4 linked regions of the Drosophila melanogaster genome follow. The protein of the gene in region 1 interacts with the protein of each later gene in a pairwise test. Each region holds a gene or a part of one and is shown on either strand. Other genes may lie near its edges.

Evidence for each region.
Region 2: the proteins of CG17270 (region 1) and CG42359 interact in a two-hybrid assay, tested with the Drosophila melanogaster proteins (one large-scale study listed by BioGRID).
Region 3: the proteins of CG17270 (region 1) and CG31415 interact in a two-hybrid assay, tested with the Drosophila melanogaster proteins (one large-scale study listed by BioGRID).
Region 4: the proteins of CG17270 (region 1) and CG42495 interact in a two-hybrid assay, tested with the Drosophila melanogaster proteins (one large-scale study listed by BioGRID).

Annotation. Positions count from the first base shown.
Region 1 is NT_033777.3:20,815,878-20,820,868, reverse strand, and holds CG17270 (uncharacterized protein), read left to right. Parts: upstream 1-1,939; 5' UTR 1,940-2,158; coding exon 2,159-2,160; intron 2,161-3,068; coding exon 3,069-3,229; intron 3,230-3,283; coding exon 3,284-3,374; intron 3,375-3,441; coding exon 3,442-3,560; intron 3,561-3,654; coding exon 3,655-3,791; 3' UTR 3,792-4,424; downstream 4,425-4,991. Other genes in the region: CG17271 (uncharacterized protein), read left to right, coding at 71-219, 426-676; Fancd2, read left to right, coding at 4,776-4,850, 4,917-4,991.
Region 2 is NT_033777.3:19,160,705-19,164,171, reverse strand, and holds CG42359 (uncharacterized protein), read left to right. Parts: upstream 1-1,871; 5' UTR 1,872-1,933; coding exon of another isoform or gene 1,934-2,056; intron 2,057-2,132; coding exon of another isoform or gene 2,133-2,382; 5' UTR 2,383-2,421; coding exon 2,422-2,820; 3' UTR 2,821-2,913; downstream 2,914-3,467. Other genes in the region: Nsun5 (Nop2/Sun-like domain containing protein 5), read left to right, coding at 1,934-2,056, 2,133-2,382, 2,948-3,445.
Region 3 is NT_033777.3:9,741,995-9,745,216, forward strand, and holds CG31415 (uncharacterized protein), read left to right. Parts: upstream 1-1,522; 5' UTR 1,523-1,565; coding exon of another isoform or gene 1,566-1,673; intron 1,674-1,737; coding exon of another isoform or gene 1,738-1,868; intron 1,869-1,917; coding exon of another isoform or gene 1,918-2,020; intron 2,021-2,075; 5' UTR 2,076-2,081; coding exon 2,082-2,555; 3' UTR 2,556-2,668; downstream 2,669-3,222. Other genes in the region: Pnn (pinin), read left to right, coding at 206-225; CG34409 (uncharacterized protein), read right to left, coding at 1,059-1,435, 1,566-1,673, 1,738-1,868, 1,918-2,020, 2,687-3,222.
Region 4 is NT_037436.4:18,665,568-18,668,685, forward strand, and holds CG42495 (uncharacterized protein), read left to right. Parts: upstream 1-1,793; 5' UTR 1,794-1,867; coding exon 1,868-2,012; intron 2,013-2,080; coding exon 2,081-2,226; intron 2,227-2,279; coding exon 2,280-2,417; 3' UTR 2,418-2,568; downstream 2,569-3,118. Other genes in the region: MYPT-75D (myosin phosphatase targeting subunit 75D), read left to right, coding at 131-687.

The sequences.
Region 1 (4,991 bases):
CTGATCTATTTCTTCAACCAAATCAACGATCAGTTGGATCTAATACCAAACCTTACTCTTTCAATTTCAGTCACATCCAGGAGCACATGCAAGTGCCAATCGATACGAGCAAGATGTCCGAGGCTGAGCTGCAGTTCCACTACTTCAAGATGCACGACTCGGACAACAACAACAAGTTGGACGGCTGCGAGCTGATCAAATCGCTGATCCATTGGCACGGTAAGATAGCTACTGCTTTTTAATCTGGCTCGCTGGTTAGAGTTGCGTTTGTGGTTTCTGTATTTCGTTTTGTTTGACCCACTATTCTGTTCTACTTCTTTGCATATGCGTAATAAAACTGGGCTGTTTCCGGTTATGGTTGTGGTCATGCTCGAATCTCATGCTAATCCATCTCGCATCCGCCATAACAAATCATTGCCATGCAGAGCAAGGCAGCAAGGAGCAGCCGAACGGTGAGAAGCCGCATGTGGAGGAGAAGGTTTTCTCCGACGAGGAGCTGGTGGCCCTCATTGATCCCATCCTGCAGATGGACGACACCTCACGCGACGGCTACATCGACTATCCGGAGTTCATTAAGGCGCAGCAAAAGGCCGCCGAGAAGCAGCAGCAGCAGCAGCAGCAACAACAGCAGCCGCACGAACAGCAACAGCAGCAGCAGCAGCAGCCGGTTCATTAGTAGTCACCCAGATGCGTTCAGTTTACATACATAAAACCATGTCCTCGTCCCGCGCTCTGTGACGTGCAACACATACTCCTGTTTCTGCCCAAAACACCCTGAAATTACGTTGACCTCGTCGACGATTTTAGCGCACTTCTTAGATAAATTTGAATGAAATTTACTTAACATGCTGCAAGCATTCCAATCGGAGAACTTCATTGAACAAATTGTAACTAAACGTCCTTCTGAGAACTCTTTTTTCAAAAGATTCGCATTTTCGAATATTATTTCTCACGAATCTCTCGAGTGGGTTGTGCAATTCCAGCCGCCTTGTTTCGTTTTGTTTTCGATTGTCATAATTTTAGTTACTTTTCGATATGAACTAATTTTTAAGCGCGACTTTAGAGCAGCAAAAAAAACAGACTGATTGTGTAAACGTTTGTTTTGTACAAAAAGAAAATGAAACTATGCAAAAAAATAAGCGAAGAAAACCCCGTCTTTTTAAACTGAAACCTACTATATAGACGCATGCAAATCTCTGTAAGTAAAGCCGAATTAGCGAATAAAGTCAACTTCAAATCACACGCGACCACCACATGTAATCCCTCTATCAAGTAGAATTGTAGACACTAGAACACATTTTCCGGTTTCGGGTGAGCTTAGCTAACAAGTTAACCATGCCCAGCGGAGCCTTAAAGTGTACATTACCTTTCTAGTCAAGGATAGTGGAGAAAAACCAGCCGAGGCACACCAGGAAGGCCACGCCGAGGGCCAAGCGCAGCAGCCCGATGATCACAAATCCGGATCTGTGTACACGGACAAGGCTCTGGAGGACACCATTGACTATGTGCTGAAGTCCATGGACCTGAACAACGATGGATTTGTCGACTGGGCCGAGTACCGCAAGACTGAGGCCAACATTGGCAAGGACTAGACCAGACTAGACCAGTTTCATCCCAAGAGAGCCATAGAACTTGACAAATTGTTGATCTTTTATACATGTTGCCTATACATATAGCAATTCCGATTGAACACAGTTTACAACTTTTGTACTTTGCTAAATAAAATGATGCTAAAAATGCAAGCCACACTTTTTTTTTAAGTCAGTAATGGCCAACTTGTGAATATATTTTTTTTAATCATAATCATACTATATTAATTGAGGACTTAGACCACTTTTTCCAGGTATTCCCGGTGCGATACGAACCAATCAACAAGAACCAAAGCTCCGAAAGCATAAAAGCTGCCTGTCCTCGCACGAAACTTTCCCATTCTAGACTTTTAGTGGCTGGCAAGGCGTTGCAGGCGGCGGTACGAGAATCGGTCGCGTTTACAGCTGAACGGCGAAAATACACATATATGAAATAAACAATCGCTGCTGCATAAAATAGGTTTTTGAGGGACACAAGAGTGCCAGTGGCAGTGCTGCAAACAAATATTACGCATACGCCGGGTGGGACGGATCGCGGTACTGCTGATTAACACGGGAATCTTTGCAAAATGTGAGTGAATTGAGGAGTGCTCCCGAAATCAAATACACACATAGCCAGTGGTGCATTTATTGTGAACCGCCTGATAGTGGCTAGCCGGTTGGTCCGGGGCCCATAAATCGCGTTGCTCGGACGACCCAGTCGGCGATGTTGCTTGGAAATAAACAACCGGGACTAATGGTGGATCCACCATAAGCGCTCCACGTGGTCGCGTGCAGCCGGGAATTACGCTCCGCATATTTGCATTGCGCAAATAGCACAGCAGCATAGTGTGCCATAATATCGATTTTGCCCAGACCTGCGGAGTGAAGTGGAGTGGGGTGGGTGGTGGCATGTGCTGGGACTTCCGAGTGCGATGCGATTCTCAGGGGAAGATAAGCCGGTTGCCACCGATGCCATTGGACTCGGCTGCTCGCTTGGAGTTCATGCTTGTGCTAAAAGCCTTTAAACAAAAGCACCTCATTATGCACACGCAATAGTATCGCGTTTATTCTAATGGCTTTGTAATACCGAAATATGTACATAGTTGGTTCTCTTATTATATCATCATAATCTAGACTGGGTCGGTCTGCTTTAAGCATAATGATACTATGACCTGAGCTAAATTTGTATATTTTCTGGCTAAGGTTCTTAATGAGTTTTTCTTATATCTTAAAACATTCGTTACACGAATACGAGTAGGCATAAAAAAACCTTACGACGAATTGTTACATTGTACATTCTATTACAAGTTTTCTGCAGTATAATGACCATTTTGTCAAAATTTCAAATAATTTTCTAAATATATAACCCTGATATGTGTAATAAAGTCTTCAAGTTGTGTTGGACATTAGACCAATTGGTAAACCCATTCCTTAGATTAAATTATTTTCCTTTAAAGGGAGAATGGATATTAAATAACACAGAAAATTTACTTGTAGGGCTGCCATGCAGTCTGGCGGACGACCCCGCGAGCGATTGCTGTACGCCTTCCGGGGATGGATAGCATTCGTGGCCTTCATGGACCTGGGCACGGCCTTTAGGAGCTACATAGAAAGACGCAGCTTCCTGGGCGATCACAGCGACACCCAGTTCATAGAGGGTAAGTGGGGATGGATTGAGCTGCTGGAGTCGCATTTGATGGGTTCTTTCACAGGGGACTACACCATATCGCGGATCATCGGGATGTACTGCCTGCTGAAGGCCATCGCTCTCGTCCACTGCACCCTCTACATTCACTACAAGCCGTAAGTGAATCCCATATATCCTCTGGTTAGATTATCGTCACTAATGGGGATATTTCCCTACGTTTAGGGTGGTCAGCATGGGCGGCTGCTCATTGGCCCTCACCATGGTCTTCTATGCCACCGAGGCACTCTACTTTCGCTCCAGCACCATTAACTTCTACGTGATCTTCCCGTGTGTGCTAAATTGTAAGTAAACACAACTAAAATTCAGTAATAACAAATTATATCTTTTTTGTAACACCCCGAACCATTTAGTAAATTGAATCTTTCGCCTTTTTAGCTATAACTCTACTGGGCCTCATCTATATACCCAAACGACTGCGGCTCTGGGAGCCAAATATGGATCTGGATGACGAAAACTCACAGCTGCTCAAGCAAATGACGGGCTTCAAGAGACGACGAGCGAAAAAACAATAGTTTATTACTATCTAGAAATATGAAAAGCAATAACCGGAAGACACTGAGTTGAGTTTCCGTTAGCACAGTATTGTGAAAGAATCGCAAATTTCGCTTTGGACTGCATTGGTGTGATAGAATCGGCATCATGTTCATCATTATATATACTCAATAGCAATACTGAAAACAACGCCAAATTAGTGATTTTCTATGAACTAGGTAGTGAAGGGTCTAAATGGCCCCGGAATAAGTCAATTTCTGGCATAATCACTTCAAGACATACATATGTTGTACTTCCTTTTTATAAAGCGTATTTATATACATTTAAAAATGTATGGCACAATAGAGTTTTTGCACTTTTAAGAGTTGAAAATCGATACTAGGAAATATTTATCTAATTATCAGAGACATCTAGCACCCGAGTTAAATAATTAAAATCGAAAGGCTTTAAATTAACAAATAAGCTCATAATCATCTTATTTACATATACGATTATCAATTTATGGATCATGCTTCCGTATCGATCATAAAATTAAGGAACATTTTATAGTCATTACGTATGATTGAATGTTATGTAAACCTAAAAAAAAGAAAATACAATAATAGTTTTGTACGAATTATGTAGATTATGTTTCAATAAAAATTTGAATTGACGAAAGTGGATTTTTATTTAGACTTCTACACACAGTGCTCTAAAGGTCGTTTCTTCATTTATTTTGTTAGATTTTAATTAGTAATGTTAAAAAAAAATAAGTATTTCTATAAGAGTTGAATTATTAGTTAATTTTTATAATCATTTGAAAATCGTAAAATTTGTATAAGAATTGTTACGATATTCGTTATTGCGCTTAGCGAATTCACGAACCTCGACCACCGCGGCTATCGATAAAAACTGATGTCAATGCTCGGTCACACTGCACCTGCATACGCGCCATTAAATTGTTTTGTTTTTATTATTTTGTGATTTAAGATTGAAGATTGAAGCTTATAAAGCTTTCCAGTACTATGTATAAACAATTTAAAAAACGCTCAAAGAAACCTCTGAACACCATCGATGAGAACGCGACCATAAAAGTGCCGGTAAGTGGACATTCGGACCAGTCGGAATTTGGAACTCCATTTACTTGACCAAAATCTGTGTTTCAGCGCCTGGCGGAGACGACCACAAATATATCCGTTGAGTCCTCATCTGGCGGAAGCGAGGAGAACATACCCGCCTCC
Region 2 (3,467 bases), 1.7 Mb from region 1:
TCGCTCTCTTCTCTCTCCGCACAAACGCACACTAGTGAAAAAGGCTTGTTTATGTTTTTTATGTGTGCGCTCTCACTCTCTCGCGCTCTTTTTTGTTCCCGGCGCCACAGAGTTTTTTTTCGGTTTCGGGGAGGAGGCGTGCTCTTTTTTTCGAATACCAAATTTAATTGGGCCAAATTCTGGGGAGAGAAAAACAAAAAGAACATATAATATCCTGCATCCTTTCTGCAGTGCCATTGCCCTGACTTTTGGCGGTATTTTCTATTTTTGGGAATCTGAAATTACAATTTAAGCTTTTAGCGAATCCTAATCTAGGAAACAGCAATAGTGGTACATAAGGTCCTCCGTGCTGGACATGATGCACATCACCCGGAACAGTGGCACAAAGAGTTTATCCAAAATATTAGGATGTTCTCCTGGCTGTATTGAAAATTCCGTGCCACTGGATCTTCGCCTATGAGCTGTTGAACTTTGTTACCATTTTATAACTTACACTTACATATGTATATTATTATAATCTATTATATAATATCAATGTTATTGTAATTATATTATTTTGCGCGCTGAATTCATGCCTATGCGATTCTATTGTATAAATATATATGTATTTATATATATGCATTTGTTAATACTTCTGAAAAAGAAAATGAAGAACTTAAATATCCGTTACATATTATATAATATTATTGATAATATTATTATAAGAAAAATATGTCTTGAAGATCAAATTGAAGATAAGAATTTTAAAGTTCCGGAAACTGATAATTATTTTATAACTCCTCATAATTTTTAAGGTTTTTTTTTTTACAAAATCAAAACATTTTTTGTTGTTTACCCTTGAAATATTTCTTTATTCACATTTTCTACATTAAAGTGCTGCGCCAAATATAAAATTTGAGCCTCCAAAAGAATTAAAAAATTTAACTTAAAAATAAAAAATATTAATTTATGTATATTTGAAATTAAGCAGCAGTCAAAGTTATTTTAGTAGTTTATTGATGTTTAGTGGGCTAAGATTGTTCCTGAGGGGAGTTCCGCTGTGCACCACAATGGACTGAAATGAATATTCCCGGATTCCTTCTTCATTTCCGCCAGCGGTTAAAACCTGCAAAGTGACAGTGTGTCAGTTTTAATAACTAAAAAGAAAGTGCAAGTATCTACCGATTCATTTACATGGATATCAGTCGTGATTTTCGAGGAGACTCTTTTCTGAAAGTCGAATTGAAAGCGTTAAAAGCCAATACAAAAGTTTCCGGGTGCTGGCTGATGGACTCAACGTCTGTTCTTCGCACCAAGGACATTGTAGGATGCGATCCTCAGCCTTGATATCGTCTATCAACTCCTGGGCAAACATAGAAAGGTACGTTTCCTTAAAGTCCTTAAAGAATAGCGTGCTTCATTTTAATATTTTTTAATTAAAGCAGCCGTACAGACCCCAAAACAAACGACACACCAGAAACAAATTGGAAAAAACTTGATTTAATTCCAATTTACCAACTTATGCACGATAAATAAAAGCATGATTCTAAATTTTGGTAAACCTCCAAGAACGCGCACACTTTGACATTTTAAACTGCGGCTTTATCGCGCCAAAATTTTTAACCATGAAAATATTCTTGTGTTGGCAATGCTTGAAGTACAGTAATTTTTGCTCGCAACGTATGGCCACACTGCCAATTTATTTGTAAATTTGATACCCTGTATGTAAATATATTGGATAGAACATATATGTTTTGTAGTTATCGTTGGCAAAATTAGAACAACCTTTACATTAATTGTAGATATTTTCAAAACATGAATAACAATATGATTTGTTTCAAACGCCACATGCTTATCTCCAGCCCTGACATTCGATAAGCATATATCGATAAAGTCGTGATTGGGGTTGCACCTATTCTAGCGCAAACAACACATACACGTGCACGTGACGACAATGAGTAAAAAACCGCATTCCATAAAAGTTCCCACCCAATACAGGGCGACTGCCAAGATTTTGAAGGCGGCACTGGAGCAGCAGAAGTGCATCAAGACCCTAATATTTGCAGAGAAGCATGCCGTAAGTGGATTGGACCTCTCGTCCGCAGATCAAACCAATATGCGTATAACTTTTCCCTCTCGCACTTCACTTGTAGCGTACACGCTCTTTGCATACGGTTCTGAAAAAATTTAGCGAAAATCGTGTGGCACTGGAAAAGGCCATCGAAGAGACAGGACTGCTCAGGGACAATCCCAGTTTTGATCCCAGTTTGGCCAAGATTCTAGTCACCGAACTGCTGTTTGGCAGGAAGGAGCTGAACGGCGAAAGCAAACCCGTGCAAACGGTGCGAAGTTACAAGGATCGACTGCTAAATTCCATCAGAGATTTCGGTGTCCAGCGAAAAGGCAGGTTATCACACCGATTACCAGTATTAGCCGGCTGAGATGGGCAAGAAGAACAGGAAACAACAGCATGTCGATGTGGTGCCAGCTACCACTGATGATTCCCCGGCTGTCATTGATTCTCCCGTGGAGCATCATACGCAGCAGGAGGACACCAGTGCGGAGGTCTTCCTCTGGCTGTTGGCCTACAGTGTGCTCATGTTCACGCTGCCCTTCTTGGGCTTCTATGGCGTCCGCAGCTGGCTGCAGGAGTCCTTCCCCCATTTGGACCTTTTCACGGTCAACTGTTGGTCAGTTCTCACGGCTGTTGTGGTTGTTAACCTCGTGGTGGCCATGTATGTATTAAAGGCTTTCCGCGAGAAGCCCCCACCACCCTTGGAACCCGTGCAGCAGGATGAGGACGACGAGCCGGAAGCTGCGGAGCCAAAGAAAGAACAGTAACTTAAGTGCTGCCAGCCAAGTCCAGATTATTTCGATCGTTTAAAGGACCAGTAACGACTCTTAACAACTCTTAATAAATCTTACTTTGGCTACAATTTTGAACTCGTCTTTTTGTTTGCCCACACAGAACCCAATCCTCGATATGTGCGCATCAACACAAATCTATACAGCTTGGCGGAGGCCTTGGACTACCTGCATAAAAGCGACTGGCGGCGCAAGGAGCTGCCTGCGGACGCCAGCTATGCGGATTTTCTGACTGCCATCAAATCGCTGGCGGAGAACGAGTTCATGACCGATCTGCACGTTGAGGGTGTGCTCATTTTTCCTGCCAAGTGGTCCAACTACTGGGTCCGCCATCCGTTGGTGCACAGCAAGAGGTTTATACTGCAGAACAAGGCCACCTGTTTGGCCGCCGAACTACTTGCTCCGCCGTCTGGGGCCACTGTGCTGGATATGTGCGCAGCTCCCGGTATGAAGACAGTGCACATATGCAATGTGATGCAGAACAAGGGATGCATCTACTCCGTGGAGCAGGACCACGTACGCTACAATACGCTGTGCGAAATAACAAAGGATGCTGGTTGCGATATTGTAAAACCCATTTTGGGAGACGCCTTGAACCTAAGTGAGTTTTATATTTATATATT
Region 3 (3,222 bases), about 11 Mb from region 1:
GCTTGAAATATGATCGTGCGGATATCGCTGTGTAGGGCAATTGGGTTTCAATTTATAAAACTTATTTATGAAACTTTAATTTATAATACAAAAACCAGATCTTAAGCAAATAAATTACAATGCGGTGATTACATTTAAAAGTTATATCGTATTTATCAACTCAAATACCTTTGTTTCAATGTTCTACTTCCTGTTTTTATTGCAGCTTTATTATACGTTAAGTAAAGTACCCAAAAGTAAATGATGCTATTCTAGGAATAAAGGATTACAACTAATGCAATTTAACAAATTATTTGCAAAAGCAATTGTTTTACTTCACCGAATGAAGGGGTGTTTAAGAACATCAATTTGTGGACAAAACCAGTTATTCTTTATTGCCATTATTTATGTCCTACTAGAAATAAAACTTGGAAAAAAAAAATTGTTTACTGCAAGCAAGCTATATTTGTATCTTTCAAAAGAATTTGTAAAATTGTAAATAAAACTAAAAAATATTTTACACGCAAGATATTGGATCGCGAAATAGGAACATTAAATACCTAATTATGTATTTATAGATATAATCATCCTGAAGCTAAATCACATATTTTATTCTCGCTTCCAAATTGTTTGAGGAAGTAACTAATTTAAAATGAGGCGTTAAAACAATTATAATTCTTTAAGCGATAAGTTAAGAACTCTTATAAGATAATTATACCTTCTTCGCCGTCTATTAACATTATTAATTAAGACCAGTAGTCAGAAGCAATTAATGAAAAAATAATATGTTAACCTCTGATTCTTGTACTGTATTCGTGTAAAAAAAGAACATTGTTTTTCTGAAAATAAAATGAGAGCATTGACATCCGCCATATACAGTAGAAAAATACAAATTTGATGAATACGATTGTTATACACGTACATTTTATTGAAATTTAGGTGATTTGAAGTGGAACCGAATTTTTGTATTTATCCGTAGAATGTATGAATCATTGTTCTTTACGTCGATGTATTCTGAAGACTTTGGCATTGGAAGCTTTGGATGTAATTTGCTAGGGATGGGTTCCCAACACGACCGCTCACTGGTCAGATCCTTCGGCGATGCTTCGCAGTATCCAATCGGAGAAGCTACTCACCAGGGTGTAGACCCCCGGAATGGTGGTCACGCCGCACAGCGTCGGTCCAAAGGCCACGATGCCGATGATCGTATAACGTCCACTTGTTCCAAAGACGCCGGAGGTACCGTCGTCCATAAAGGGGCCGCCACTATCGCCTCGGCACACGTCATTCATGGGCATTCCCTGGGCGCACAGGTGGTTGGGAGTAATCACAATAGGCTGCTGGAAGTTCTCACTGAGACTGGCATAGGCGATGGCGCAACTGGTGGTGTTCACGATGGGCAAACGGATGAAGCGCACCCCAGCGGTGGAGTTTGAGGGGTCCATCGAACTATTATCTGGATAAAATTTGTAGTAGAGAATGTTATATACATTTAAAACCTAATATGCACTGAATTATATTTCGATCGCATTGATAGTAAGTTAAAAAATGTAACAGATCAGATATAAAGTTGTTTCGAGACTAACTTTCAGTACTCCCAATACTCCAACCAGCAGCCACTCCAATTTGTCCTATCAGCCTGTTTCCCAGTGTGATTGGCCCGTTGAAGGGTAAGCATATGGGTGTGAAAGTGCCTGCAAGGTTGGTGGTGGTTATTCAGCGTAATCATTGACCTAGGATAGGAGTATAATCTCTTACCATTAGTGCTGTTGATTCGTAGGAGGGCAATGTCATTTGCATACTTGGGCTGGTCGTAGTTCGGATGAACTATAACCTGCTCGATGGCAAACGGAGTCGCCCCATCCTGACTTCCCAATCGAACATGGGACCTACGAAAGAGCGTGGATTACAAAAGATTTAATTAGGCTTTAGACTTACAGTTCCAAATCGCTGACTAGGTTGACCACACAGTGGGCGGCAGTTACGATGTGGTTGCTGGATATCAGGGATCCGGAGCAGCGAAAGCTAATGCGGCTGCTGCCTGAAAATATTATCGTAAAACTTCTGTAAGAATAAAGATTTTTTCTTGTTTTCAGCTCAACATGTGCGCTTGCCCTTGTTCAGGAAGAAGTCTACCACCTCAGAGCAACAACCCTGATTCTTGCCCAGCTCCTGGCTCACGGGGCGGTCCAGGTGCTGGTGGAGGTGCCCCTGGTGCCGGTGGAGGCGGCCCAGGTGGTCGTGGAGGGGGCCCGCCCCAAAAGCGTGGAACGTGTGGCCCCAAACCTTGCGGCGGACAGCAGTGCAATAAATGCGGTAAGGGAGGCCCTGGAGGAAGAGGTGGCCCTGGAGGAAAAGGTGGTGGCCCTGGAGGAAGAAATGGCCCTGGAGGTAGTGGTGGTCCCGGAGGCAGAAATGCTCCCAATGGCGGTGGTGGAGGCGGAGGAGGACCTTTTGGGCTGAGTGCCCCACCAAACAATCGCGGACCCAAGGCTCTGGGACTGGCTGCTCTGCTCTTTGCCGTCGGCGTCTACCTTACATTAAAAATGGTTATTGTGGCCAGTGAAATTGGATGAGCGCAGACAGGACGGCATTGGGCCCGGCTCAGATCTCCAATGCGGAGTAAGTTTAAGAGCATTTAAGAGGCGTTGCGTTGGGTAAAATAAATTCGAAATTGCGTATTTAGCCTAACATAAGATGTACTTACTTCGGTTGCGATAAGCGATCCTTGTCAGCCAGGGAAACTGTCCGGCACTAGCCTGATCTCCTCCCAGCAGTCGGCTCTCTACATTTATCCCACATCCTTGGGTGTTCTCCTGTGCGAAAGGTGGCATCGATGCGGTTGTTGTGGATAAAGAAGCAGGAATTGTTTCAATTGGTGTAGCTAATGTTGTGGTAAACGGCGCCAGGGGCGGACCTTGATCTATGTTGGAGTCAATTGCCTCCTCTCCCTGCCGCTGGAAGCGTAGGTCCCCGGGAAATACTATGGGCTTATCCTTTGGCACGGGTCGCAGTAATGTATCCCGTTCTTCGTGCTCCACATGATACAGAAAGTGGTGTCCCAAGGCGAACCGTCGGTCGAAGAACTCTGGTTCCACGGGCTGGGGACAATTGCGTTGTTCCTCGAAGTTCCAGTAGTCATGCAGATTGGTCTCCGCTTCCAGATAATCCCCGTGTGTGTGGGAGTGCCGGCTGCCCTTGTCACTATCCGCACCATCCCAAATCCAACGATCATTCGGCGGA
Region 4 (3,118 bases), on another chromosome or scaffold:
TGTTGTGCCTCGTTTCGCCCGTTCTGTGTCGTCTGCCTGCCCGCATCATCATCAACAATAAAAACAACAACCACCGCACCACTAAACACCAAACACACCCAACGCCTTGCCAAAAACTTCCAACATCCAGACACCAATAGCACGCACCACCATCAGCAACATCAACAGCAGCAGCAGCAGCAGCAGCAACACCACCACCAGCAACACGTACTGCTGTTGCAGCAACACCAGCAGCTTCAGCAACATCAGCAGCAACAGCAACAGCAGCAGCAGCAGCAGCATGTTGCCTTGGATGGCTACAGCGCCACATTGGCCAATTTGAAGAAGCAACGCTCGCTTTCACGCACCGCCAATGTCCTCAATACTTTCGAATTGTCATCCCAAACAGCTAGCAATGCCCATCCAATTGCAGCAGCTAATGCCACAACAACTAATGGTTCTGTTTTAGGAGCCGGCGGCAGCAGCAGCAACAACAACAACAACCTGAGCACCAGCAACAACAACAACAACGGATCCGCACCGATCTCGACGCAGCCAACATTGGGTCACATGGGCGCGGGAAGCGTGCTATCCGACTTCGAGGGCTCCTCGCCGGCGGGCAGTTCGCTGAACAAGTTCAGCGGCATCACTGGCGACGTGGTCACCGATAGCACCAGTTCCAGTCGCAGGTGTTGCGTCCTGATGTAGAAACTTAGCGAACTACTAGAGTCACAGGGTATTAGAGCAGCCAGAATTGTCAGAGGGATAGGCCATTTGTTAAATGGCAAGAAAAAAGTGTCTTTTTATTAGATTAGCCGTATTCAGTGAGTGAATTGTTGAATGTTGATTACACAAATGCATGTTGGTTTTGAGAACGGGGTTCGATTCTGTGAGCTCCTAGATAACGGCTGAAAGTCGTTGCATTTTCCTAGCAGACACAACAACACACTAAAGACACACACAACCAATTATACGAAACAAATTTATACAAATATACAACCATATGTATACATTTTAAAGAATATTAAAAGAATTACGTATAAAATAATTGTGAGCAGTTTACCTTAGGCGATATATAACAACTAACTAAATCAAAATGAAAAAACATCAAAAAATATTTATATAGCAATGCTAAGTAAGAACCTAACTTAATAGATTTGCTTGGAGTGCATTAGGAATATCTGTGTTTCCGTGTGTGAGTGTTACAACCGAAACAGGCGAAGTATTATGCAACAAGTAAATATTTAACTAAATATATAGTACGATAGCAAAATTGTAGTTAAACCGTGACAGCAAAGTAAAGCAAAGCAATGAGACGAAATGCATAGCACTCAAGCAATTTCCACATATAAGTGTCTAAATGTTTGAATTGAAGGAATGTTAATAATGCCAGGCGGCATAGAGATTTATTTTTTAATGCAACTACTTTGCTCTGCGTTATGTAAGTTGAGTTTTGTTGAGAGGTACAAGAATATATGTATTATTTATGTAGCAGCGGTCTTTGTATATAAACCTACACAATTCCAAAAGATGCAAAAACAACGCGCAATTAGCAAATGAGACTTTTTCGATGAATGTCAAGGCATTAGCTGAACGTTTTGTAAAATAAACAAATGAAATACGAAAAAATTACACACAAATTTGATTTGATTTTGCGCCAGTTAGTTTTTTATATTCCTGTGCTTATATTTCTTATGAAGAATGAAGTTGAAGTAAATATCTACTCTTTTAAATCTCGCGCCAAGGTGCTCCACCTGGCGGGATTTTAATGAACCGCAAGCTTGTCATATGGAAGTAAGTTGGCAGCTTTGCGCATCAGCTGTTGCCTCGTTCGACTTTTGTTTACATTTTTATTGGTTTAAACTTATAAGTTTAAAGATCTAACCTAATGGAATCACTCGCAAAATATCGATACAGTTTGGTGGCTGGCTCCTTCGCAGCTGCAGGAAGCTTTTTCGGAAAACTTCCCAGCCACCTGAGCGCCCAAAAACTACTGAATACTTCGCAAATAAATGAAGACTTTTCTTATTTAGGCAAGATTGTGATTTCTTCAAACAAGCAAAATGTTTATAAATTTATAAAATTTTATTTTATTTATTAGAAATAGCATTACTTCAGCTGCTGCCACTAGTGTTAATGGTAACATGCAACGTTTGCAACTTGCGTTTCTTTTTGAAGGCCCTGCAAATGACTGAACAAACTTTAACGTGCGTCGTTTTAACTGCCGCTTCGAATTATGTCTTATCGGTAGGTGATCCACCGATCTATTTGTTCAATTATGATTACTGTTCGTTATATAGTTTGTCCTAGGTGCGCTTGTTTATCGGGAGCCACTGACAGTACTATCTGGCATCGGAATAACTCTCATTCTGGCTGGTCTTTGGTTTCTTTGCGACGGAGGAACAGTCGAGTCCGAAAAGCAGGACAAAATGGAATAGTAGGAATGGGATTTGCTTAAGATTAGCTTCTTTTATACACATTTTTCATTTGCCATATAACTTTCTGAAGCAGGGATAAAAATAGTTAAAGAAACTTAATTTTCCATTTGTAACTTTAAAATATAAAAATGTTGGGAACCCCAATTAGTCCAAAAAAACGAATGGTTTATATACTTTTGTTTAATGTATGTACTGTTTTGCAAATACATAGTTTTCATTTCATTTATAATGCACTGTTAGTGTGCACGCTTCTTCATTCACGCGGCAATAATTACAACTATTATGTTTTACGTGGTTTTGTATTTTTGTTTTCATCGTTTGTGTGTAAAAGTTTGGCAGAACAAAAAAAGGTGTTGAAATGGGATAGAGCATGACAGTAAGAGCACAAACTATAAATATATTTATCCCTTCGTTTATATATATAGGTAATAGTAATTAATTTTTATAATTCAGAATCGTTATTTAATTGCTAAGACGTATAAATACTTTTTATATTCTTTCTCTCGACATCTGTAATCATCAATCAGCTTCAACGCAGCCAAACAGACAAAAAGTAAAATCAAGCAAGAAATGGCAGATCCAAGTTACATACAAGTTTTGCCCATCTGTCGTTTGTTTTCCTTGGACGAAGTAGTGTTGTGTCCTGTCCTATCCTGTCTGGGAGTTTTAGAAACCCTTGGAGCGCTTACTTTCCTGTATTT